Ovis aries: one gene and its partners. The protein of the gene in region 1 purifies or fractionates together with the protein of each later gene. This does not show direct contact. Links are inferred from orthologs where the notes say so. Each region holds a gene or a part of one and is shown in the gene's direction. Other genes may lie near its edges.

Region 1 (3,500 bases):
GGGAGGACATAAAGGAGGTTATGAAAATTTGATTTGTTTTATAAAGGTAAAATAATTTAAGCATTAAAAAAAATTATGAAAATAATTCATATTAATTACTTCATTGAATATCCTGGTATTGACTTTAAACAACTCTTCTTTCAGTAAAAATAGAGCCAGGGGACGTCCCTGGTGGTCCAGTGGCTAAAACTCCGCACTCCCAACGCAGAAGCCCTGAGTTCAATCCCTGGTCAGGGAACTAGATCCCACATGCAGCAGCTAAGACTTAGTACAATCAAATAAGTATTTAAAAAAAAAAAGCCAGGAATAGTGATAGATTTTCTAACTTACCTGTAGATGACTCTGTACTCTGTTTCTCAGTAATTAATAATAAATGAACAGTACTTAGATAAACTAAAATTGTTTCTTTTCTCTGGAAAAAAGAAATGGAGGGCCTTAGACCTTTATGGTGTAAATTTTAATATTTCACTTACCCTGCTCATAATATAATTTTCTGGGGCTCAATTTTTTAATATTTTCTAGACGTATTTCTAGATGCTTAGTTTAAAATTTTAAATGTGACCAAACATAGATTATTATGAGTAATGATACTTGAAGGCTAAAAAAAAAAAATTACGTTCTTTAACCAGTTTTAAGGACATAGTCCCAAGTATATATTCTGAAATACCACTGAGATGTTTATCTTCTCTATCAGGGCTTGGCAAACTACAGATAGATCTAGCTTATTTTCCTAAGCGTTATGAGCTAAGAGTGGTTTCAGCCTTTTAAAAAGGTTGTAGGAAAAAACGAACTAAATTACGCTACCGAGTCAGTTTGTGGTCTGCAAAGCCTAAACTATTTACTCTTTGGTCTTACACAGAAAAAGTTTGTTGGTTATTCTATATTATACTGCTAACAACTACAAACAACCTAAGCACACATGTCAGAGCAAATGGTTGAATGGTATGCAGCCATTATTGCTCATGTTTTTGAATAATATTTGATAATCTCAGGAATTGCTTATTCATGTTAAGTAAGGTACAGAACTAAATGCAATATGATTCTAATTTTGTAAGAACAAAAAATATGTTTGTATAGGAAAACAAAACTAGGAGGAATGTGCCTAAATATTTTAGTAATAGTTATTTTGAGTGGAATTATGAGTGATTTTTCTTTCTTTATAATGTACTTCTTAATTTTATAACCCAATTCTTTTAAATTTTTAAAATATTTTAATTGAGAGGAAAACATTTCAGAAACTGTCAAATAAGGAAATAGGAACTTGTTTGCGGTACTATAGATGTAAAAGCTGAACTCACTAGGAAAAAACTTATTTTTGCCTGTCTTTCCAGTAAAACAGAAACAGTAGTGTATTGTTCAGCACTGTTTGAATGGTTACCATAGAGGACAGATTTCATACAAAAGAAAAGAACCACTAAGGAAGTCAGATTTGGCAGAATAGTTGATTAAAATTTATGAATAAGTCAGTCATTGAAGGAATCATGGACCTTTTACCTGTGGTTGATGAGTTTAATGGCTTAACTTCATTAACATTTAAGTACATGTGTGTGATATAAAAGCTCATAACATTCTCACCTTTAATATGTTTGAAGAAATTGATGCCCAAAGTAGATGTATTAAAAATGGAGAGTTAATTATGTCATATTAATAGATTAATGGATTTTATGCCTTAATTAACCTTCATTTCTCTATGTCTTTAGGAATTGCAAGAAGTCACTTCATAAACAGTCTTGTGAAGCCCATTGTCCTATACTTGATTATTTCTGTTTTATCTTTAAGGTCTTTTTGGTTCATCACGGGTACAGTATGTTGTAGACCATGCGATGAAAATTGTCTTTCTCCACACCGATCCCTCCATTGTCATGACCTATGACACTGTTCAAGGTCTGCATTCTGTGTGGGCTCTCCGGAGAGTCAAACCAGAGGTAAGGGTGAAGGCAAGTCATTTCTTAACAGAAAAAGATAGTTAATGCTGAAAACCTGCATATTTTTTTTTTACCACTCATTAAAAATTATTTTAAAAATTTATTTTTGATTGGAGGATAATTGCTTTATAGCATTCTCTCGGTTTCTGCCATACCTCAGTATGAACCAGCCGTAGGCATACATATGTCCCCTCCCCCTTGAACCTGCCTCCCTCCTCCCACCCCAGCCCGCCCCCTAGGTTGTCACAGAGCCCCAGTGTGAGCTCCCTGAGTCGCACAGCAGGCCCCCACGGGCTCTGTTTTACGTGTGGCAGCGTGTATGTTCCATGCTCCTCTCTCCACCCGCCCCCCGCCCCGCTTCCCCCGCTGTGTCCGCAGGCTGTCCCATGCCTGCGTCTCCACTGCCGCCCTGTAAATAGACTCACCAGCAGCACACCACCTTTCTATACTCCATATATGTGTGTTAACGTGTGATATTTGTATGTTTTTAGAAGACTCAATTGTGAAATAAATTGAGAATCTTAGGAAAAAAGATGTTTTCTCTTTAATAACTGGCAACTACCCTGCAAGGAAAATGCCCTCCTAATCTAATTATTATCTCCCCGTCCCCCTTCATTTTGACTTAAGGAAGGCAATGCTGTTTTAAAGTTCTCTGAACAGGGGGCCACCCCCCAGAACGTGGCTACTAGCAGCTCGCTCACAGCACACCTCAGAAGCCTCTCCAAGGGCGACTCCCCCGTGGCGTCCCCCTTCCAGAACTACTCCTCCATCCACAGCCAGAGCCGCTCCGCCTCCTCGCCCAGCCTGCACTCCCGTTCACCTTCCATTTCCAACATGGCAGCTCTCAGGTGGGACTTCAGTGTGGCCGTGTTTCCTTGTTTTAAACAAGAAGTCTCAAGAAAAAGATACCTTCTTTTTAAACTTTCTGTTGTGATTGGGAGCATTTAAAATTTCTCTTGACAGCTCCTGAGTACCTTTTAGAAAAAAAAGCAGTATGCCCATTAAGCTACTTTTACCAAGATTCCAGGCCTACTGTGTTGCCTTGCCAGTGAGTCATATTTAGAAGCTGCCAATTCTTGTTGTTAAGAGTGCCGCATTGTTACCACTCCTTGGCAGCAGTTTGGTGAATGTTAATTCTAGAGATATTTTGGTACTATTTTCTTTTGGCTTAGTTTGCTGTAGCTTTGGTTTTTATTAGTATCTATATAATCTGGGTTTTGTTCATATGTGTATGTCTGAGTACCTAAGAACATAGTTTAGACTCTTTTGAATAATCTAAGCGATTCCTTTTCTGAGGCAGAAGATGAACTGATTTTCAGTTAAAAAAAGAGTTACTCCAGCAGGAGTTCTAAATCTTTAGACTATAATAAAGCGTGTTAACAAGCCGTGTAAGTAGCTGTTCCTTTTTTTGTTTTTTAATTGTATTTCTGACTGGGTTTCTGCCTGAATGCTTGCAAGAGTACATAGGGTTGGAAAGCTCTGTTGGAGAGTGCGCCGTGTCAGCCTGCATTGTTACTCATGGTGCCCTCTTCTCTCTGTTTGTTTTGCAGTCGTGCGCATTCCCCTGCCTTAGGA
Region 2 (3,500 bases), on another chromosome or scaffold:
GGTGCCTTTCTCAAAGATGAGCTTACGTATCCTTTTGCTTTGAAGTTCATTATCAAGGGAAATATGCAAATGTTATAATTTAAGCATTTATCCTAATAACACCTGTGATTAAATGTAAGCGGGAGGTAGCACTTTGAAGAGCTTGCAAACAAATCTTGGCCTGGTCCTTACAGCCAGAATCCCCACTGCCTTGGTGTGATATCCTCAAGTTCAGGATCAAACCACCTGAGAAGAGCTCTAATTCTGTATGCTTTGCTCTTCCTAAAATAAAACTTAAGTTATAATTTGATTCTTTAATCAAGGGTATGAATGCTGGCATACTTACACAATTTATTAGGCATAATAAATTGCATCACTGGTGTCAAATGTTCACACAGCCCCTCTTCCCATAGTTATTTTCATAGTTATTTCATAGTTATTTTCAGGCCATTTCCCTTATTTGAAAAACTCAGTAATATCATTGGCTTACCTAGATCTTTAGACTGGACAGCCAGTATAATATTCAATAGTTGAAAATTAAATTTTTGCTCAGTTTAGATGATTTAAATGAGTTACATTCTGCCAGAGGAATAGGGGTGGGAGGAGGGAATGGGATCTATCCCCATATGACACAATATTTAGAAAAGAAGTTGAATTTAAAGAATAATAAAGTCTACATAACTATATGAAATTATATTTTGACATAATATATAATATGTGTATATATTAATACATAATAATTTCATATATATTATGTATGGAATAATATTTTTGAAACAATTTTGAAGATAATAGTAGAAGCCCTCTTGGTCGTATATTTAAGCTATTTGAATATAGTATCTATGGTTTTTCTTATTTATCATGAGCTTCTGAAATAAGGTCTGCCTTGCTGTGTGAACATTTGACACCAGACCTTCATGGAAACTCACCATGAAGCCAGAATATGTTAGTCCTGTCTGCTTGTCACTTAATAGCTGGCTGACGGCAGCAACCCGTGATTGATGGGTGAGTGCTTGACATCCAGCAGTGTTGGCATGAACCACCGCCTAAAAAAAGACAGCTGTGTCCTCTCCCTTCATTTGTTTTAGAATTTCTGCAATAAGATCCCTTCCCTGAATGGTTTCTGCTACTCCTTGAAGTCACATTTTCCTACATGAGTTCTGCGTATTTAGGGGTATGTTTTGTTGTATCAGCCCTTGCCTGATAAGGAATAACATGAACTAGCTTATGTTTCACAATCATCTTCCAAGTACTGGGGTGACTGAATTAGCTACCTTCATGTATCCAGTTCTTGGCATCAGTACAATGCTAGGTTCTGAAATTGCACCATACTTTTATAACCATCCAAATTGCAGTGTTCTAGTTAAGTTGGAAAATCAAGGTTATAGTTTGCGTTTACAGAATGAAATTTCCCAGCAGTGTTTTGTGATGGTCATTGTGATATAACTTGATATACAAAATATTGACAATAGCTATTTTTCTTCAACTTTACTTTTTAGAATGAAAACAATTAAGAGTTTTGGTGTACCTTTGTATTTTGAAAGTTTGGGGCCACATGACCAAATGTGTTAGTTGTCAGTGTTTGCTTGACATACAAAATAGGAGAACATTAAGAAATTGTCAAGTTAGGATGGGAGAAGTGTTGACCAGGGCATCAGACTGGGGTTTCTTGTTTTTGTTATTTTAACACTATTTTTAAACTCTTGAACAAGTAGAGGGACTATTTTAACATTTTAGGTATAGAAGTAGCTTTTATAACACAGCAGTGTTAATTCTAAGTGAAACAGAAGCCCTTTGTAAACACTGAAAACTAGACCCTGAATGTAAAAGCAGGGAGAATGGGTGTGTTTACTACATTTATCAGAAGCCATTAGATTAAAATGGATTGGAGCAGATTAAAACTTGTCCTCTTCTGTTTCTAGATGGCTCTGAGAGATTCCTCTGTGAATCTGTTTTCAGCTATCAAGTGGCATCTACGCTCAAACAGGTGAAACATGGTAAGCATGTGAGTACTGTGTACTTAACTGTGAAAATGAACTTACTAGGAACTGGAAGGGTGGGAGAGGGGGACTTAGAAAGGTCAGAGTGCTCTGTAACAAAAACTCAGCAAGGCTGCTTAAGTGGACTTCCCAAATTGCCTGCAGATAAGAACATTCTACAGTTCTTAATCCACAGATAATGTTACATTAAGACTTAAATTTGAAGTCAAAGGGGTTAGTTTTCCAGGGGAGTTAATGCTTCCTACTCCTCTTGTATTGCTTTTTCCACTCCTTCCTGAAACCTTCTTTTCCTGTTGTCCTCCATTGTTACCACTGTCTGCATTTTCAGATATGTATGTAATACCTCTTGGTCTATCTGGATTCGAAGATCCTGGTAGCACCTTTTCTATTCTATCATGCCTCACCCGTCTTCATTTATGCATCAGGGAACTCTGTTCGACCACCAAACCAGACTATTTCTCCCCTGAGAACATAATGTTGGGGTGGGCGGGGGTAGGGGGAGCTGCAACTGCTTGTAACCCTAGGTTTTTGGCTTTTCGGGTTTGTTAGCTTTTTGTAGCATACAGGATCTTAGTTCCCCAACAAGGGATAGAACCAGTTCCCCCTGCAGTGGAAACACAGAACCTTAACTACTTGTAACCCTAGATTCTTAGGATACCAATCATAAATTTAGTACACAAATGGCATGGAGGATAAGTACTACTATTTTTTTAAGATTGTCTTAAGTAATTATCCTACAATTAAAAATAAAATGTAAATTAAAAGATTAAGTCTTCTGACAACATAGGGTAAGACCCCATTACTAGAATATTGAGGGGGGAAAATCTTTCTAGAAATTATTTTTAAATCAGTCATCATCTTGCTGCTTGGTGTATAATTAATAAATACTATCTCCTTGATTCTTTACAGATCAGCAAGTTGCTCGGATGGAAAAACTAGCTGGTTTGGTAGAAGAGCTGGAGGCAGATGAGTGGCGATTTAAACCCATTGAGCAGCTGCTGGGGTTCACACCCTCTTCAGGTTAACCTGGCCTGGATGGTCATCTCAGGTGCACAGCAAGTGCAGGTCTAGCAAGGAACTTTTCTTACAATGTATATAGCCATCCAGAGATTCACGGCTCCATCACTGAATTATTAATTCACATTCATACTTGGTTTCTCTGTATCTGTACACAAGCAACAAATTCTTAAGTGTGTGATCTTGCAGGGAAATTTTTTGCTTATTTAAAAAAGTATTGAGAATCGGATTTAGACAATCGACATCAGAGAACCAGGAAGTTTGGGTTTAAAAGAGATTTATAAAACTTCACAATCCAGGACACATGCCAGAATTGGCCAGACGAAAGACATCCCTCCTGTCATTCACACAGTTCCTAGAATCCTCACCAGTCAAGTCCAAGGTCAGGATCTGGAGTTATAAAATACATTTCTGACCTAAAACCCTTCCTTTTGCAGATGAATGTGATTTCGACTCAGGACTTGTCCAAATTAGGAATTTTTTAATGTTTGGGATTTTTTCTAT
Region 3 (3,500 bases), on another chromosome or scaffold:
AAGAAACTACAAGCAAAAGTGTTTATCAGTAGGATCTAGTTATAGTGTAGCCCTAGGATGGGATATTGAGGAAGTGAAATATAGCATTGTATGCGCTGATTTGGAAAGGCCTGTATATATTAGTAAATAAGCTTTTAAGCAGTGTGTTTACTCTTTCTGTTTAAAGGTGATAGTTATTTTTTTGGCCACACTTTGCTACTTGTGGGATCTTGGTTCCCCAACCAGGGGTTGAACCTGAACCCACCCTGGCCCTCTTGGCCGTGAAAGTGCGGAGTCCTAACCACTGGACTGCCAGAGAATTCCCTGAAGGGGATAGTTTATAGACATACATCCTGCTATATGCCTAAAATATATATGGGTAATATACATGGAAAATTTAGCATATGTGTGTGAAGAAAATTAACAAAACTTTATAGAGGGGGGGAACCTTGACTTTCAGTTTGAACCTGTCTTTAAATTGTACATACAATTTACATTTAAAAGGAATATCAGAATGAACTGAAGTGAAATTATAAATCATGTTCTGTATTTTTCCACTAAAAAAAAAGACAGAGTAATATAATTGCTTTTTTTTTTAGTGCCTGTACATTTTTTTCTTGTTTTATTTCTCTTTATGTAGAGCCTTTGTTCTTTGTTACTAAAGAGCTGATTGCCAGGAGTTGTTTTCTGACCCTGAAGTCATGTGTATTATCCACACAGAATAATTCATAGAAGTAACTTTTGGGGGGCATTCAGTATGCTAAGCCCTATGCTTATTTAATCTTGAAGGAGTTTTTTAAAAATTGAGATACAGTTTACAACATAATTTTCACAGTTCAGGGGTTTTAGTATTTTCACAGAATTGTGCAACCACCACCACTAATTCCAGAAGGTTTACATCCCTCTAGAAAAGCCTTGTTATCTCTCTAGTCCCTGGAAATCACTGACCTTTCTGCCTCTGTGGGTTCACCTATTCTGGACCTTTTATATATGGAATCATGCAGTGTGTGGCCTTTTGTGGCTGGCTGCTTTTACTTAGTATGTTTTCAAGGTTGATCCATATTATGGCACATAATAAAGAAGCAGTTGTGTATTCCTTTTTGTTGCAGAATAATATTCCATCGTGTGGATGTGCCATATTTTAACTGTTCATTAGTTGGTGGGCATTTGTGTTGTTTCTGCTTTTTATCATTAATGATGCTGTGAACATTTGTGTGCAGGTTTTTGTGTGGACATAGGTTTTCAGTTTTCTTGGCTTGTGTACACAGAAGCAGAATTACTGGGTCATATGGTAATCATGTTTAACATTTTGAAGAACTGCCATACTTCTGAAGTAATATTTTGAAGAGATGTTTTCATTTCCTCTTAAGTGTCTTCCATCTGAAATTGAAGTAAAATACAAAATGGCTGAATGTTATACAATGCTAAAACAAGATAAAGATGCCATTGCTATACTTGATGGGATCCCTTCAAGACAAAGAACTCCCAAAGTAAGTTGAATTAACAATTTGGTTACATACTTTTCTCTTCCCCTGTCCTTCCAGCTGTCTTCCTCTGTGTTTTCAGGGACTACATCTGAACATTTTACAAACCTTGTCTCTTATTCCCACTTTGTTCCCCTGTTCTCCTTATTTAGAGAGAGGAGTGGCTTTCTTATAAGACCCTGAAAATGCTGCCGAGGAAAATGGTAGCTGGAGAGTACAACGTGTGTTTAATTATTTTGTTTTTCTTATTGTAGGAAACATGATTTGAATATATTTCCAGGTAGCAACAGTACTTTTTAAGAATCTCATTTTTTGCATTCCGTAGGTATGCCCATTTGATAATGTGTATTCCTTTTATTTTCAGAATTAAAACTTCAAGATTCTTTGTACGTGTTTGTGTGTAGGATATTATTTGTGTTTTATTTGGCAACAATAGTATATAGCACACCTCCAACTGAGATCAGAAGATCTAGTCTCTTGCCTTTGCGTTTAGGGCATACAGGCAGTGTGTGGTGAGCTTGGGCAAGTTAAAAATCTGGCTTTACTTTTTTCCTTGTTGAGGATGATAATACTTTCTCTGGTATAAACTAAGTTCATGTATGTGAGAATACTTTTTAAAGTATTATTCTATAAGGAGTATTAGGCATCTGAATACAGGTTTTCTTGAAGTCCAGTTTAGAAGAACAATGAAAATCTTAGCTCTTTGGAGTGAAGTCACATCATTATTTAATATTCTAACACATACTTTCATGTCACCTACCTTCCTCTCTTCATTGAAAAACTGTGCAGTGTAGTTAACGATAGGAACTTTTGCACATCTTCCCTGCCATTAAAAGAAAAGGAATTATAAGCAGTAGGGACCAGGTGTATTTAGTGTTTTTTCACCCAAGTGTTACTGAGTTTTAAAAGTAATCACACTTGATGAGAACATGTTTAAGCATCTTCTCATGTTGAAGATTTATTTAATATTTTCTGAATTTTAAAAATTAAGCTATTTCTTCATATTTTATGGTGATAATTGTTATTTAAAACATTTGTAAGTATATTATAGACTAACCTATCTCACAATAAGCTGGACACTGTATACTTAATTATATTCTGGTACGCTATGAAAGTCTTACCCTAAGAGTAATTTTTTTGTATATATGAAGGGTGTCTTCGTTTGGAAAATGCTGCTTTGATTGTAAGCTTTGAAGGATACCTATTCCTTATCTTATTGGAAACATTCCATAATTTCTTCTTAATGACTTGAGGGAGTTTGGGGGCATTTTTAAAAATGAGTAATGGCCAAGCACGTGAGCCTTGTGGTATCCAACACTTTGGTGTTTACAGCTGTCATTTTAGGAAGAGCTAGAGGAGTCCACATACATTAGGAGTACATATCCTTCATAGAGCTGTTGTAGCCAGGAGCAAACAAAGATGTGTGCCTCCAACATAAACCTATAATATTTACAGTTTTTCTTTCTTGTCCGTTAGGGAGTTAACTGGCTTCTCAGTCTGTGTAAAGGACAAGGAAGTGAGTCAAAATACGTCTAAATGAACGTCTGTTAATGTATGGTAAACACCGCCACACATTCTTCACATTTTAAAGGAAAATTCCAGTGTGAGATTATCATGTCGTGGAAAATCTTCAGCTTTTAAGAGAAACATACCAAGAAACAATTTGTCACTCAGTTTTTAGAAAATGATGACTGCTTATATTTATAACTGGTGGAATGCAACTTAAATGATGTCCCCAAGTAAGGATCTATTTTTAAAAGGAATTGACTTTCTAACTAGGTGTAGTTCTCAAAATTCAAAGTGTCAGGTAGTTTAAAGGGAATTTTTAATATTTGTTGAGATAGAAGGCCCGTCAGTCATAGTTCATTAATAACAAGCAGTCAAGAAAGGATTTTAAATTTAATTCTTTTATTTTTTTCAAGTATTGACACCACTACTGGAGTTTTCCTTTAAGTACCTTTTTTTTTTTTTTTTTTTTTGCATTTCAACATAGCCTAAAATGAAAAATCTGAGGCCAAATAAAAAATAGTTTAATTT
Region 4 (3,500 bases), on another chromosome or scaffold:
TGGAGACCTAACTGTAACTGGATGCTGCCACCAGTTAGCGCTCTAACCCTGCTTTGCTCTTTTGTAAACTGCAGTCTCCATGAAGGCAGGGATTTATTTATACTGCTTTGTTCCCAGTACCTGTATTATGCTCAGTAAGTAATTTTTGAATGGATAAATGAATGAATGGAACTAGATTATGGCTGGGTTGTTTTTTTTTTCAGATAAATTAGAAGTCTGAATTAATTAAGAACAGTTTCCTAAAATAACCCTATTTGCAGAATCATGCCTAACATGCTTTTTCCTGACCAAACACAAGAAGCATATTCAAACGCTATGCAAAACACATGCAATATATTTCTTCACTGAGGTGGATGTAATATGTATATAAAATACAGTATTGATGAAGACACCCCATGAAAGGACAAAAAGGGTCCACCACAAATATTAAAGAAGGTATATAAATACATATATACACATATATAAGTGTGTGTATACACACATAAATCTTAGTGCAAGCATCTTCATGTGGCAGAAAAGCCCAAGGGGAAGAACACATCTGTTTGGCATTCTAAGGCTTTTGGAGGAAAGAAAGAATTGCCTGCACATTTTAAGAGAAGAAACATGACTAAGTTAGGAGGGATTCCTGCACACACAGTCTTTGCTAAAGGCAGCAGTTCGGTTTGTTTGTCTGGAGTGGCAATGGGTTGTATTAAAGGAGAAAAGGAAAAATGGTTTAAGATGGCTATACCAACCATTTTGAGCCTAAGAATATAAATCAAATTCTTCACTCTGTAGTTCTTAGAAGAAAAATAAGTTTTCCTTGGTGACAAGAAGCTGTTAAAACTAGAAAATGTAGTCCAGTGAAATACATTTAGACGTGAAATGCATCTATAATTCAAATTATGTTTGGAGTTTCCCTTTAAAGATAGTTTTAAACTTTATATTTTCAGCAATGTTGAGAATGACAGAAGACCATGTACTTCCCGAACTGAACAAGGTAGTATATAATAGTATTTTTCCTATATGTGTTAGTGTTGCCCTGGTTGAGCTCATCTGTGCTGGTCATCTTAGTAGTAAGATGCAGTTATTGTTAAGAGATGTTAGGCTGTAGGCACAAGAGAGATCCTAGTAAGCCCTTTTTAAAATTTGCATGTTTGATATTTTTTATCTCACAGAATGCTAGACTATGGCTAAGCTTATCATTTTCATGTTTGTATAAGATCTCAGAGTCTGTATAACATAGGGTATTTGGATTCCTTTTTTTAACTTCCTAAAATCTTAAATGCATTTTTATTTTCCTTGGAAGTCTTGTATGTAGATATTAGTACCTATGTTCATGTCTGGTGAGTACCAGTTTCTTTTTGACTGTAATAAGGATTATGACAAGTAGCAATGAAATCTCCTTCTCAGAATATCTTACAGAATAGGGCAGAATTCCCTTTTGGTTCCTGCAGCTCACTCATCCTCACCCCTCCCCAAACTGTGATTCAGGTAGATTAGGTGGTTTTAAGCCTGAAAAAATGGGGAGTATTAAAATTAGTCTTAGTGGACCAGATAAGTAAGGGATCACAGCTTTTATAGGAAGTAGATCTTCTGTGCTGTATGACTGGCCTTGCAAACCAGGGATGTTTGCATTAGCTATTTCTCTGCCATCACTCTTACCTTTACTTTGGGAGATTCAGTATGTTCGTTGTTGGCAGAGACCTCAATATGTAATTTTTTGAGGGCTGAAGAACTTGGATAGGGAGAAGGTGGGGGTCATTAAAAGAAGCAGAGGCCAACACTGAAGCAAGAGGTGTTCTCAGGTTGCAGCCCTTAACCTAGATTGAGGTTATCTGAACAGACGTCCTCCACTCCCAAAGGAGAGACTCCACACTCATTCTTCAGTTCATTTGCTCAGTCATGTCCAACTCTTTGTGACCCCGTGAACCACAGCATGCCAGGCCTCCCTGTCCATCACCACCTGCTGGAGTCCAGCCAAACCCATGTCCATTGAGTTGGTGATGTCATCCAACCATCTCATCCTCTGTCGTCCCCTTCTCCTCCTGCCTTCAATCTTTCCCAGCTTCAGGGTCTTTTCCAGTGAGTCAGCTCTTTGTATCAGGTGGCCAAAGTATTGGAGTTTCAGCTTCAACATTAGTCCTTCCAATGAATATTCAGGACTGATCTCCTTTAAGATGGACTGGTTGGATCTCCTTGCAGTCCAGGGGACTCTCAAGAGTCTTCTCCAACACCATAGTTCAGAATCATCATTTCTTCGGCGCTCAGCTTTCTTTATAGTCCAACTCTCACATCCATACATGACTACTGGAAAAACCATAGCCTTGACTAGACAGACCTTTGTTAGCAAGTAATGTCTCTGCTTTTTAATATGATCTCTAGGTTGGTCATAATTTGCCTTCCAAGGAGTAAGCATCTTTTAATTTCATGGCTGCAGTCACTATCTGCAGTGATTTTGGAGCCCCCCAAAGTAAAGTCAGCCACTGTTTCCATTGTTTCCCCATCTGTTTCCCATGAAGTGATGGGACCAGATGCGATGATCTTTGTTTTCTGAATTTTGAGCATTAAGCCAACTTTTTCACTCTCCTCTTTCACTTTCATAAAGAGGCTCTTTAGTTCCTCTTCACTTTCTGCCATAAGGGTGGTGTAATCTGCATATCTGAGGTTATTGATATTTCTCCCGGCAGTCTTGACTCCAGCTTGTGCTTCCTCCAGCCCAGCATTTCTCGTGATGTACTCTGCATAGAAGTTAAATAAGCAGGGTGACAATATACTGCCTTGACGTACTCCTTTTCCTATTTGGAACCAGTCTGTTGTTCCATGTTCAGTTCTAACTGTTTCTTCCTGACCTGCACACAGGTTTCTCAGTCTTAGCTTTAGGCATAAAATAATAAATAGCCTTAGACCGTAAAGAGATCTGTAGCTGTTGGAGTTGCTGATTGGAAAATGGGTTTAAAATAATTACATGCTTGTCACATTTATTGTTACATAATTTTTTATTAAGAAGCTTTTCTTTATCTTGATTTGTTTTATTTTTGTTCCTTTTGGATTTGATAGATGACTCAGAAAGATATCACATTTGTTGCTGAATTTCTTACTGAACATTTCAATGAGGTAGGAAATTGGCATTTCTATAGTGCTTTTTCAACAATAATTACAGTAAATCTGGATAATGGTAAGTAATCAAATTTAATCCAGTTTAAGCAACCTTCTAGCAATTATGTATGCTTTTTCAACTATTGAACTAATGAATGACAGTACTTATTTATTAAATGTAAAGCATATAAATTGAACTTTGTGTTTGTGTCTTACCATCCACAAAAGAAAAGAGTAACTGCTACTAACAGCTTTCTTGAGAAGTAGAGTTTTTGGTTAAAATGTAAGATTTTTTTTTCTTTAATGAGTTGATTTAAGAATTAAACTTTATTTATTCTTTCTAGGCTCCAGATCTTTATAATCGAAAAGGAAAATACTTTAACGTTGAAAAAGTTGGTCAGGTATGGGCTCTGGATTGAATC
Region 5 (4,192 bases), on another chromosome or scaffold:
CTGTGTCTCCTGCATTGCAGTCAGATTCTTTATTGATAGGCCACTGGGGAAGCCCACACCAGCCCTTGCACCTCCGCACAACTCCCAGTTACATTGACCTTACTTTGTTCTCACTCCAGGAGCAAATAAGCCCTTAGCAGAGCATCCGGATGGCTGGTTTATGTTGTTGATCACTGTTGTCTGGGGGTGGCTCCCTTACCCTGTGCCTCAGACTGTGGGCTCCTGCTGAAACCACACTGGCCATTTGTAGCTGCCTCAGATCCTCCTACGTCTGTTTGGTTCTCCTATTGTGAAACTATCAAAATCTTTTTTAAATTAAAGTTATTTTTATTGAAGTATAATTGATTTACAGTATTAGTTTCAAGTATAGAGCAAAGTGATGCAGATGATATTAACAGATTCTTTTCCATTATAGGTTATTGTATGATATTGAATATAATTCTCTATGCTATCCAGTCAGCCATTGTTATCTGTTTTATGTATGGTATTGTGTATCTGTTAATCTCATAGTCCTCTAATTTGTTCCTCCTTCCCTCCCTCTCCCCTTTGCTAACCATAACTTTGTTTTCTATATGTGTGTGTCTATTTCTGTTTTGTAAATAAGTTCATTTTGTATTTTAGATGCCACTATAAGCTATATATATGGTATTTGTCTTCCTAGTTCTCTTACTATGACAGTCTCTTAAGTTCATCTATGTTGCTGCAAATGGCATTATTTTGTTCTATTTTATTGCTGAGTAGGATTCCATTGTTTATATAGACTACATTTTTTATCAGTTCATCTGTTGATGGACATTTAGTTTGCTTCTTGGCTGTTTTTTAAATAGTGCTGCTATAAACACAGGGGTGCGTGTATCTTTTAAAATTAGAGTTTTGTCTGTATTTATGCCCAGGAGTGAGATTGCTTGGTCATATGCTAACTCTAATTTTAGTTTTTTAAGGAACCTCTGTACTGTTCTCCCGGAGAAGGCAATGGCACCCCACTCCAGTACTCTTGCCGGGAAAATCCCATGGATGGAGGAGCCTGGTAGGCTGCAGTCCATGGGGTCGCCAAGAGTTGGACACAACTGAGCGACTTCACTTTCACTTTTCACTTTCATGGACTGGAGAAGGGAATGGCAACCCACTCCAGTGTTCTTGCCTGGAGAATTCCAGGGATGGCGGAGCCTGGTGGGCTGCCATCTGTGGGGTCACACAGAGTTGGACACGACTGAAGCAACTTAGCAGCAGCAGCAGCAGCATACTGTTCTCCAGAGTGGTGCACCAGTTTACATTTCCACCAACAATGTAGGGAGTTCCCTTTTCTCCATACACCCTCTTCAGCCTTTATTATTTGTTGGCTTTTTGATGATGGTCATTCTGACTTGTGTGAGATGATACCTCACTGTGGTTTTGATTTGCATTCCCCTAATGATTAGTGATGTTGAGAAACAATCGTGTTCTTTAACACCCTGTCCCTTAAAGGCTCTCTTTGGCCTCAAGAGTGAGGAGGAAGGAACACTGGGTGTGTTGTCCCTGCAGGTGATTAACTGGGAGAGCACGCTGCACATCCCTGCACAGGTGGAGCTGAGCCCTGAGGCCCGGGACCTCATCGCCAAGCTGTGCTGTGCAGCTGAGCACCGGTTAGGCCGCAACGGGGCCGATGATCTGAAGGCCCACCCATTCCTGGGTGCCATCGACTTCTCCAGCGACATCCGGAGGCAGCCGGCCCCCTATGTGCCTACTATCAGCCACCCCATGGACACATCCAACTTTGACCCAGTGGATGAGGAGGGCCCCTGGCAGGACGGCAGTGAGGACAGCTCCAAAGCCTGGGACGCGCTGGGCCCTGCGGGCAGCCGGCACCCGGAGCATGCCTTTTACGAGTTCACCTTCCGGAGGTTCTTCGATGACAATGGCCACCCGTTCCGGTGCCCCAAGCCTGCAGTGGCTGAAGCCGTGACCGAGGCTGAGCAGCCGGCTTCAGTGGGTCCGGCCCTGGGGGCGCAGGCCGGGGGCTGCCAGCCCGTGTACGTGTAGACTGGTGGACGGGGAGGTCAGCCCGTCAGGTCAGTTGGCCGGTTGCCCCTCGAAGTCTAGCCTGCACCCAAAACCAAAGCGGAAAAACTTCTGAAAGAGGACTCACCTCTGAGGTCTGCATCTCCAGGTTCTGGTGGATGGCAGGAGGTGTCAGCGCAGCCTGGAATTAGCTTTGAGGACCTTCACGACATTAAAACAATATTTTTTAAATCAATACAGTAGAAAGAGCACTTATTTTGTTTATAGCCATTTTTCTTATTAAATTATAGGGATTAATTTTGACAAATCATGCTGCTGTTATTTTCTACATTTGTATTTTATCCACAGCACTTACTCACATTAGGGAAAGACATAAAGATTGAAGAACATGTGATAAGAAATCTCTGTGCAATAATGTTAAAAAAAAAAAAACACTGTCCTGATGTTACTGATACCATTTTATTCACACAACAGTTTTTGTTTTATATTTTTCCCACATTTCAAAATTGTGATATATGTTAAGAGCTGCTTTTGTTGTTTTGTTCTGTTCGCTTTTTGCATATTATAGCATCATAGAAAGTGTGAGCAGTTGATCATGCGGGTGTGACTTCAGACATCAGGTATGGAGAAAGCATGAACAGGGTTTTTCTATTATTAATATAACGTGACCGTGTCTTGCCATTCACAGCAGGTTCTGTGAATACGTTTTTACTGAGTGTCTTTGGATGAGTCGTTCTGGACAGTGCTGATGCCACGTCGTGAGTGACTTCCTCGCTGTGACTGCACCCCCCTCCTCTCTCATTGCAGAAATGCACGTGTTTCTGAGAGATGATGTGACTGTATGTGTTGTGGGTGTGCTTGGATTCTTTGAGGGGGCAAAGACATTTGTCCTACACTAAACTTGTGTACATCAAAAGGGATTCACTTAGCTCTGCCTAAAAAAGTAAGTTAGCCATGGATCTCTGTCTGTCTTGCCAGTCAGGATGCTGTCCTGTGGCCTAGCCGACACAGGGAGCCAGAGCCCCACCCTGCAGACCTGTGCAGAGTTCTCTCTGCAGTGCTTTTAGTGTGCTTTGAAGGATCCAACTAAACTCAGTTTTAAAAGCACATTTTTCTAATCTTTGTGAAACAGCAAGGACTATTCAGTGTGATGTTGGAGGGGAAAAAAAAGATAATTAAGCCATACATATTTTCTTAGGAGTATAGATGTATATATAACTATATAGATAAACACACAAAATATTCCTATTTCAAATTAGTATGATTCCTATTTAAAGTGATTTATATTTGAATAAAAAGTTAAATTTCTTTTTTGCTTTTTAAAAACCTGGTGCATCATATTTTTTGTTATATTCACATATTTTTCCTTGAAGTTTTTAGCATAACGTATCCATTACTTAGTGTATCTCTAGGCAGCAACACTCACGTGTCTGTGGATGTCTAAACTGAAGAAGAAGATTCCTGTGTACTGGTTTACATGTGTATGAGTGGCAGGTTCTGAGTCTGCTGTGCTGTGTCGTGACTGTCAGTGTTTCTCTAGTTTTGCAGTAACGCCGTGTTGTTATTTACACTCTTACAGCCTTCATGTGGTAGGTTCTTTCTCAGGAACTCAATTTAACTATTATTTATTGATATATCATTGCCTTTGAAAAGCTTCTACTGGCACAATTTATTATTAAAAGTTTGAATCCAAATCCCTAGGTGTCAAATTTTATTGAAATTTGTAAGTTCTTGGTTGTCTCGTGTGCTTTCCCCATGATTCAAACACAGCGGGGGCTGCCATTGCAAGGGAGAAGAGCTCTTGTCTTGGTTTGGTCTGGGATTTGGAGATTGGGTTTCAGGTCACAGCACAGGGTCCAAGTCCGGGTGCGGTTCTGCGATCAGCTTTCTTTTCTTCCTGAAGGTGGTGACGGGTGTTTGGCGTTAGATTGCTGAGTGGGGTCAGTGGGCTGTCAGATAGATCTTGAGTGGGAGCCGAATTGCCCTGCTTAAGACTAGTCACACTGACAGTACAAGGATAACACCCTACCTTTGCTTCAGAATGGTCAATGGTATTAAGAGCTCCAGAAGCTGTCAACATTTGATTCTGAATTGTTCTTTTGAAAGGTGCAGTCATGTGGTCACCACTGGGCAGTCCCCACTCCACCAGGCCATCTCAGACCCTGTCCTTGTGGAGACAGGGTTCCACTTATGT
Region 6 (3,500 bases), on another chromosome or scaffold:
TGATTCTTTACCCACCCTTCAGTTCAGCTCAGTTCAGTTCAGTCGCTGTCATGTCCGACTCTTTGCGACCCCGTGAATTGCAGCACACCAGGCCTCCCTGTCCGTCACCAACTCCCGGAGTTTACTCAAACTCATGTCCATCAAGTCGGTGATGCCATCCAGCCATCTCATCATCTGTCGTCCCCTTCTCCCCTGCCCCAATCCCTCCCAGCATCAGAGTCTTTTCCAATGAGTCAACTCTTCGCATGAGGTGGCCAGAGTATTCGAGTTTCAGCTTTAGCATCAGTCCTTGAACACCCAGGACTGATCCTCTTTAGAATGGACTGGTTTTATTTTAAAATGTGATTGATAATAGTGCCTATCTCCTTGGTTCCATCTAGGATTAAATAAGGTAAATCAAACAAAGAATTTAATAAAATTATTGGCAGACACATGATAATCGCTCAGTAAAAATTAGCTATTAAATCTAGATTGTAGTGGTAGGTCTAAGGATGTGGTTTCTTTTTTTCTAGTTGTTATAGTTTTATTTGATTGGCTGTTTGATTGACTGGATTGTTTTTACTTATAAAAGTGACTTGTCTAAAACACTTGGGCAGTTTTATATCATGTTAGATTTTGCCTACCCTAAGACTAGCAGTATTTTTCTACTGGTTTATTAAAATGCCACATTCCATACATATCCTTTTATTAGCTAAACTAAATTAGCATTTCATATCCTTAAAATTGTATTTTATTTTAAACTCTCAGGTATGGTTTAGGAATGATTTATTACAAGCAAGAAAAATTCAGCCTTGCAGAAATGCATTTCCAGAAAGCACTTGACATCAACCCTCAAAGTTCAGTTTTGCTTTGCCACATTGGAGTAGTAAGTAGCTTTCTAAGTATTGTTCAGTTAATCCCTTTTAGAATGTTTGTTATTGGCTTAGTTGCTGTAATAAAAATTAGGGGGTTTTGTTATTGTTATTCTTGAAACAATATCCTGGATTCTTTTACAGCCAAAAATATCGCCTTTTTGCTTGGCATAAAGAGAAATCACTGGAGTACCCTCATTCCTTGGGCAAGTTACTTAATTTCTCTGAGCTTCTATTTTGTGAATGACAAATGATACCATCTTGCCTACCTCATAGGGTTATTATAACACTAATATGAGATACTTGATATTTTTGAAGGCAGTTTTCCGTGTTAGTATTTAACTCCTAAATTAAATAATTAATAATTTAAGTGATTTTAAATGATTCCCTGTATTTTAGCCTCTGAGTGGTATAGATATGTCAGAACTAATTAAAATTCTTATAAAGTGGTGAGAATGGTTAATTTTATATTTTTCTTACTGTATGTGATAATAAGTTGTACTTTGATAGGATAAGAGAACAGGTACGTTTGTTTTTTAAAATCTTACTTACTAATTTCTCTGAAAGCTTGGAACATTTTTTTGAGTTCTTGTTCTTGTCCTTTCACCATTCTTCCTTCTCCCTCTTTCCGTCCCTCTTTTCTTTCTCTTTGCAAGTTTGACCTTTGTGGGAACAAGCATACAGTATAAGGAAAATTATATAAGTGTGGAATTTCACTATTCATTTTGGGGGCAGAATTCTAGCTCTTTATAATGATTTTCTTAAGAATTGACATGGTAACTTTTACAGTTAGATACTGTACAAAAAATATAGGGAAAATACGTCAAAGATTTTTTTTTTCCGTCACTTTACTTAAACCAAACTTGAGTATCTCTTGCTGCCTTTTAGTGAAGTTGAACATTTTTAAAGCAGGCTTTCTTAAAGGCCATAGTCCAGCATTTTGTAATCTGTGGGTTCTAAGACCTGGAAAGGTTACTTCTCTGCTATAGTTTCCCTGTTTTTTTTTTTTTTTTGGAGTATAGTTGATTTACAGTGTTGTGTTAGTTTCAGAGTTTCAGCAAGGTGATTCAGTTATATATACATATATATTCATTTTCAAATTTCTTTCCCATTATAGGTTATTATGAGATATTGAATATAGTTCCTTGTGCTGTATAGTAGGTCCTTGTTGTTCATGTAGTTTGTATATAGTTGTCTGTGTCTATTAATCCTAAATTCCTAATTTATCCCTCCTTCAACCCCCTTTCCCCTTTTGTAACTATCAGTTTGTTTTCTATGTCTCTGAGCCTGTTCAAATTTAGTTTTAATATATAATTCATCTAAGAATGAACATAGCAATATGAGTACACATGAATAAATAATAAGACTTGGTTGGGTTTGCTTTTGTTTTTGTTTTTTTAAGTTATTTCAAATAAATTACCTACCACCCAGAATTACAGATCAATGCTTTTCAGATATGTAAAGCAGAAGAATTATTTTTAAAACAAATTCCTAAAATAGGTAAAAGTGTAATTGTTCTGAGTAAAACAAGGTTGGTAAGTTTCAGAGCCAGAGCTTTTAGGGGTTCTTGAAAACTTTTGAGAAGTCTAATATTTAGAGGACCATAATAAGTCTGTTAAAATGTATTATCTAACAAAATAGTACAGATTTTCTTGTGAAGAAAGACTAAGGTTTTCCTTGTCTTTTAGGCTTAAAGGTAACCAAATATCTACTCTAAAGATAGAATCTGATTATCATTATGGAGAGTAATGGTGAATTGGGAGCTGTGTTGTTTTTGAGTCACACTATTTGGTTTTTACTTTTCCTCATAAGTATCAAAAGAAAACATTAATAGGATCTTTATTTCTTATAGGTTCAGCATGCACTGAAGAAATCTGAGAAGGCTTTGGATACCCTAAACAAAGCCATTGTTATTGATCCTAAGAACCCTCTATGCAAATTTCACAGAGCCTCAGTTTTATTTGCAAATGAAAAATATAAGGTAAGATACATATATATGTGCGTATCTTAAGAGTCTTCAACATAGTACTATTTAAGCTTTGCCACTTTTTAAATAAACTAAAAGTTATTTATACTTGAATTTTTGTCTTAAGTAGTTTATTTCCCCATTTTTAAAAGCTATTTCTTTTTTGCCTATATTTCTTCATGAAATACAGGAAGGATGGATGTGTGTATATAGTTAGGAATAGAAGTTTATCCTTTAACAAGATTTCCTATAGGGAAAGGCAGTTACCTTAAATGTAAAACCTAAACCATTGTATTAGGACCAAAATATATGAACAGAATAAATGAATATATGTGCATTATTCAACAAGTATTTATTTGAATACCTATTATTAATATATGTCAGACACTAGGAATATAGTGGCAATTGAAGCAACCATATTTCCTGCCTTTGAATAGCTTACCATCTAGTACTTCCCTGCTGCTGCTAAGTTACTTCAGTTGTGTCTGACTCTGTGTGACCCCATAGATGGCAGCCCACCAGGCTCCCCCATCCCTGGGATTCTCCAGGCAAGAACACTGGATTGGGTTGCCATTTCCTTCTCCAATGCAATGTCCTTTAAATCTAATAAACATTTAACAATTTTTAACTCGCTCTTTGAAGTTTACTATAATTGTAATTCAGGATTTGTTTTCCTGTTTTTG
Region 7 (3,500 bases), about 110 Mb from region 1:
AGGACACCCGCTGTGTCCCCTCCATGGGCGTCTCCAGGGGGTCTCCTGGCTTCTCTTGGGGTGTTCGGCGGCTCCTCTGGGTTTGCTGTGAGCCGGTGCTGGGGCGGGCTGGGTTAAGGCTGAGGACGTGAGGTCCTGAGTGGGGAGAGGCTCAGCGCCGGAGACCTGATCCTAGGGTCTTCCTTCCAGAGCCAGGGGAGGGCGGCGGGGGGCGGGGTCCTGGAGCCCGCCTGTGCTCCCCGACTCAGCCCCACACACCCCTTCCTGGCTAAAGACATCTGAGGGGCCCTCCCCAGCCTCCCTCTATGCCCCAGCGCGCCTATCAGGAGAGGCCCTGCCAGCTTCCTCTGGGGCGTCCCCCTGGGTCTGAAGGTGGACTCAGACACGGCCCCCTTCTCAGGTTGGTGCGTCCTCCAGCTGGGTGCTGGGGCACCTGGGGGGCTTCTGCTCCCTGCAGTGGGTCTCCTGCCCGAGGCCAGCGCCGCACACACTGGGGTGGCCATGGCCTCTGCTGCAGACCCAAGTTGGGGTTGAAAAGGTCACGGTTCCGAGCCGCAGCGCCTGGTTAGGACCTGGCCAGCTGCCGACCGTGGAGAGCTTCAGCGTCACGCCCCCTTCAGAGCCGTGGGGGCTGCATTACTCGGGAGCAGCGCTTGGCCCAGAGACACCCTACCGGTGTCCCCGGTGGCGGCCGTAACAAAGATGACAGACAAGTGCCTTGAACATGACAGCCATTTTCTCAGTTGCAGCAGCTGTCGAGCATCTGTGATGCCAACAGAAACTCAGGTCAGGGTGTCGGCAGGGTGTGCCCCCCACAGGCTCCGGGAGGGGTGTCGGCAGGGCGTGCCCCCCCACAGGCTCCGGGAGGGGTGTCGGCAGGGCGTGCCCCCCCACAGGCTCTGGGAGGGGTGTCGGCAGGGCGTGCCCCCCCACAGGCTCCGGGAGGGGCGTCGGCCTCACGGTGGCTCCTGGCTGTGGTGCCCCACTCTGGCCCTGGCTCGTGTTACCCGGCCTCTCCCAGGGTCTGTGTGCAGAGTCCCCTCTTCCTCCGAGGACCCCAGGCCCCGCTCCGCGTGACCGCACCTTGACAAGCTGCCTTTAGGGACCCAGGCCAGCACCCCTGCCCTGCTGCTGAGGCCTAAGCCTGTGTGGGCATCCACGCAGGTCTCAGCGTCCAGTGCCCGGACCAGGGCGCCCACGCCTCTCCTGGGCCCCCCATGCCGGTCCCGGGACTGGCTGGCTGATGTGGCTTTGACACAGCTCACCTCTCAGGCCCCGCGGGCTCTGCCACAGAGTGCGTGGAGTGGTGCGTTCCTTTGGGCTCACCCGTCCTCGGTTTCCCCCTCGTTTCACACGAGCAGTGAGGAAGCTGCAGGCTGCTCCTCCTACGCTTCACGTGAAATCTCAGCCCAGCGCCCCGCACCTCCCTCCAGCCCTGCTCGCCCCAGTGGAGCTCATCTCTGCCGCTCCTTCAGCGGTCGCCTTGCAGTCGTGTCCAGCAGCGCTGCGACAGGCCTCACCGGAAGGGGCCTTGGGGTCAGGTTTCCCCCGGTCGTCTCCCCAGGGCAACCCCAGCTTTCACGAGCACGCAGCTCAGAAGGTTCCAAGTCCTCCCCTCCCCCAGCGCCGCAGCCATAGGCACGTTTCTGGGAAAGGTGCTTGCTCCAGCATCATGCTCCACCCGCACTGAAGTCCACCGCCGCTCTGCGGTGGCCGTGACAAAGCCTGCTCGCCAGGTGGCAGAGTGGTACAACCTGCTCCTGGCCCTGCAGGCCGGGTCTGTGGTGGAGGGCTGGGCGGGGCTGCGGGCCCGTGTCTGCGTACCACCCACCCTCTGACAGGTACACTGGTCTACTAGGCTAGGGTCCGCGTCGCTCCCAGACCTTGTCTTCCCTACCGATATCCACAGGTCAGGTCACGGTCTGAGATCCTGGGATCAAGAAGTGGGCGTGTCTCGGAGGGACACGTGGCCTTGCTGCTGGGTTCTGCTTGCTGAGGGCGGGAGCTGGGAGCCCACCGGGCGCTGGTGTGGCTGCCACTGCAGCTGTTACCCGCCGGGTCGGGATGGGAGCCGTTTCCCGCCTGCTCCCAGGCTGTAAAGCCTGGTTCAGCGGGACCCGCCGAACGGCCCGCGCTGACCCTGTCTTCCCCAGGCCATGCGGACGCTCAGCTGGAAGCACACCCTGGGCTTGGTGACAATGGACGTGGAGCTGGCTGACCGCACCCTGTCCGTGGCGGTGACCCCGGTGCAGGCTGTGGTCTTGCTGTATTTCCAGGACCAAGGTGAGCTCCCCAGCTGCGCCCCACCCCGCTTCGGCCACACCCCCAGGAGAACACGGCCTGTCTCCCGAGGAGGGCGGGCGGGCCCGGGCGGCTCCCCGCCCCCGGCCCCTCCCCCAGGTCCTGCCCGTCCCGCTGAGCTGGGCCCGTGAGGGGCACGGCGGAGCTCGCCCGCCCACGCCCCGCCGCCTGCCCGCAGCCAGCTGGGGCCTGGAGGAGCTGAGCGAGGCGGTGAAGATGCCGGCCGCGCTGCTGCGGCGCCGCCTGTCCGTGTGGCTGCAGCAGGGCGTGCTGCGCGAGGAGCCGGCCGGCACCTTCTCGGTAGTGGAGGAAGAGCGGCCGCAGGACCGGGACAACATGGTGCTGGTCGACAGCGACGACGAGAGCGACTCGGGCCTGGCCTCGCAAGCCGACCAGAAGGAGGAGGAGCTGCTGGTGCGCCCTGCCCGCCGCGGGGGCGGGGCGGGCGCCGGGGGGCGGGGCGGGCGCCGGGGGGCGGGGCGGGCGCCGGGGGGCGGGGCGGGCGCCGGGGGGCGGGGCGGGCGCCGGGGGGCGGGGCGGGCGCCGGGGGGCGGGGCGGGCGCCGGGGGGCGGGGCGGCCGACCTGACCGCGGCGGTTCCCGCAGCTCTTCTGGACGTACATCCAGGCTATGCTGACCAACCTGGAGAGCCTGTCGCTGGAGCGCATCTTCAGCATGCTGCGCATGTTCGTGGTCTCCGGCCCCGCGCTGGCCGAGATCGACCTGCAGGAGCTCCAGGGCTTCCTGCAGAGGAAGGTGCGCGACCAGCAGCTCGTCTACTCCGCCGGCGTCTACCGCCTGCCCAAGAGTTGTGGCTGAGCCGCCACCGGGCCTTGCCCGCCCCCCGCCAGAATGCGAGTAAAGAGATGGTTCTTCATTCTCCGTGTCGTGTCGGCTCTGTGGCCCCAGGGTGGGCGTGTGCGCCAGTTCTGCACACTGGCCTCCCCGCATCCAGGCACCGTGGGGCCCCCCAGCAGGTGGGGCTGCACCCCTGTGTGGGCTCCAGGCCGGCAGGAGTCCCGGCACGTGAGCGTCCAGTCACCGTGGCTAGCGAAAACCCACGTCAGGCTCGTGGCTCCAGCTAACGAGGGGCCAGCCACCTGGGAAACAGACCTCTTGGATCTCCACCCAAGGGCCCCCAGCCTTGGCCTCACCCCTCTGGCCCTTGGGAGAACTCTGGTTCCCCTCCCTCTACTCTGC

The links.
Region 2: the proteins of ANAPC1 (region 1) and ANAPC16 purify together in Homo sapiens (co-immunoprecipitation; 5 studies listed by BioGRID and IntAct, with this or other methods). This does not show direct contact. The link is inferred for Ovis aries from reciprocal best matches to the Homo sapiens genes ANAPC1 and ANAPC16.
Region 3: the proteins of ANAPC1 (region 1) and ANAPC7 fractionate together in Homo sapiens (co-fractionation; 6 studies listed by BioGRID and IntAct, with this or other methods). This does not show direct contact. The link is inferred for Ovis aries from reciprocal best matches to the Homo sapiens genes ANAPC1 and ANAPC7.
Region 4: the proteins of ANAPC1 (region 1) and ANAPC4 purify together in Homo sapiens (co-purification; 13 studies listed by BioGRID and IntAct, with this or other methods). This does not show direct contact. The link is inferred for Ovis aries from reciprocal best matches to the Homo sapiens genes ANAPC1 and ANAPC4.
Region 5: the proteins of ANAPC1 (region 1) and LATS2 purify together in Homo sapiens (affinity purification with mass spectrometry; 3 studies listed by BioGRID and IntAct, with this or other methods). This does not show direct contact. The link is inferred for Ovis aries from reciprocal best matches to the Homo sapiens genes ANAPC1 and LATS2.
Region 6: the proteins of ANAPC1 (region 1) and CDC27 purify together in Homo sapiens (affinity purification with mass spectrometry; 16 studies listed by BioGRID and IntAct, with this or other methods). This does not show direct contact. The link is inferred for Ovis aries from reciprocal best matches to the Homo sapiens genes ANAPC1 and CDC27.
Region 7: the proteins of ANAPC1 (region 1) and ANAPC2 fractionate together in Homo sapiens (co-fractionation; 8 studies listed by BioGRID and IntAct, with this or other methods). This does not show direct contact. The link is inferred for Ovis aries from reciprocal best matches to the Homo sapiens genes ANAPC1 and ANAPC2.

What each region holds. Positions count from the first base shown.
Region 1 is NC_056056.1:106,003,642-106,007,141, reverse strand, and holds part of ANAPC1 (anaphase-promoting complex subunit 1), read left to right. Parts: intron 1-1,779; coding exon 1,780-1,925; intron 1,926-2,552; coding exon 2,553-2,773; intron 2,774-3,475; coding exon 3,476-3,500. UniProt on the Homo sapiens protein: Component of the anaphase promoting complex/cyclosome (APC/C), a cell cycle-regulated E3 ubiquitin ligase that controls progression through mitosis and the G1 phase of the cell cycle.
Region 2 is NC_056078.1:27,529,570-27,533,069, forward strand, and holds part of ANAPC16 (anaphase-promoting complex subunit 16), read left to right. Parts: intron 1-1,901; coding exon 1,902-1,976; intron 1,977-2,888; coding exon 2,889-3,004; 3' UTR 3,005-3,500. UniProt on the Homo sapiens protein: Component of the anaphase promoting complex/cyclosome (APC/C), a cell cycle-regulated E3 ubiquitin ligase that controls progression through mitosis and the G1 phase of the cell cycle.
Region 3 is NC_056070.1:54,330,491-54,333,990, reverse strand, and holds part of ANAPC7 (anaphase-promoting complex subunit 7), read left to right. Parts: intron 1-1,349; coding exon 1,350-1,469; intron 1,470-2,939; coding exon of another isoform or gene 2,940-2,979; intron 2,980-3,043; exon of another isoform or gene 3,044-3,202; intron 3,203-3,500. UniProt on the Homo sapiens protein: Component of the anaphase promoting complex/cyclosome (APC/C), a cell cycle-regulated E3 ubiquitin ligase that controls progression through mitosis and the G1 phase of the cell cycle.
Region 4 is NC_056059.1:45,520,223-45,523,722, forward strand, and holds part of ANAPC4 (anaphase-promoting complex subunit 4), read left to right. Parts: intron 1-932; coding exon 933-979; intron 980-3,039; coding exon 3,040-3,096; intron 3,097-3,422; coding exon 3,423-3,479; intron 3,480-3,500. UniProt on the Homo sapiens protein: Component of the anaphase promoting complex/cyclosome (APC/C), a cell cycle-regulated E3 ubiquitin ligase that controls progression through mitosis and the G1 phase of the cell cycle.
Region 5 is NC_056063.1:35,927,234-35,931,425, forward strand, and holds the end of LATS2 (serine/threonine-protein kinase LATS2), read left to right. Parts: intron 1-1,521; coding exon 1,522-2,019; 3' UTR 2,020-3,692; downstream 3,693-4,192. UniProt on the Homo sapiens protein: Negative regulator of YAP1 in the Hippo signaling pathway that plays a pivotal role in organ size control and tumor suppression by restricting proliferation and promoting apoptosis.
Region 6 is NC_056064.1:45,943,236-45,946,735, reverse strand, and holds part of CDC27 (cell division cycle protein 27 homolog), read left to right. Parts: intron 1-747; coding exon 748-865; intron 866-995; coding exon of another isoform or gene 996-1,025; exon of another isoform or gene 1,026-1,057; intron 1,058-2,703; coding exon 2,704-2,832; intron 2,833-3,500. UniProt on the Homo sapiens protein: Component of the anaphase promoting complex/cyclosome (APC/C), a cell cycle-regulated E3 ubiquitin ligase that controls progression through mitosis and the G1 phase of the cell cycle.
Region 7 is NC_056056.1:755,545-759,044, forward strand, and holds the end of ANAPC2 (anaphase-promoting complex subunit 2), read left to right. Parts: intron 1-2,153; coding exon 2,154-2,283; intron 2,284-2,479; coding exon 2,480-2,715; intron 2,716-2,906; coding exon 2,907-3,119; 3' UTR 3,120-3,177; downstream 3,178-3,500. UniProt on the Homo sapiens protein: Together with the RING-H2 protein ANAPC11, constitutes the catalytic component of the anaphase promoting complex/cyclosome (APC/C), a cell cycle-regulated E3 ubiquitin ligase that controls progression through mitosis and the G1 phase of the cell cycle.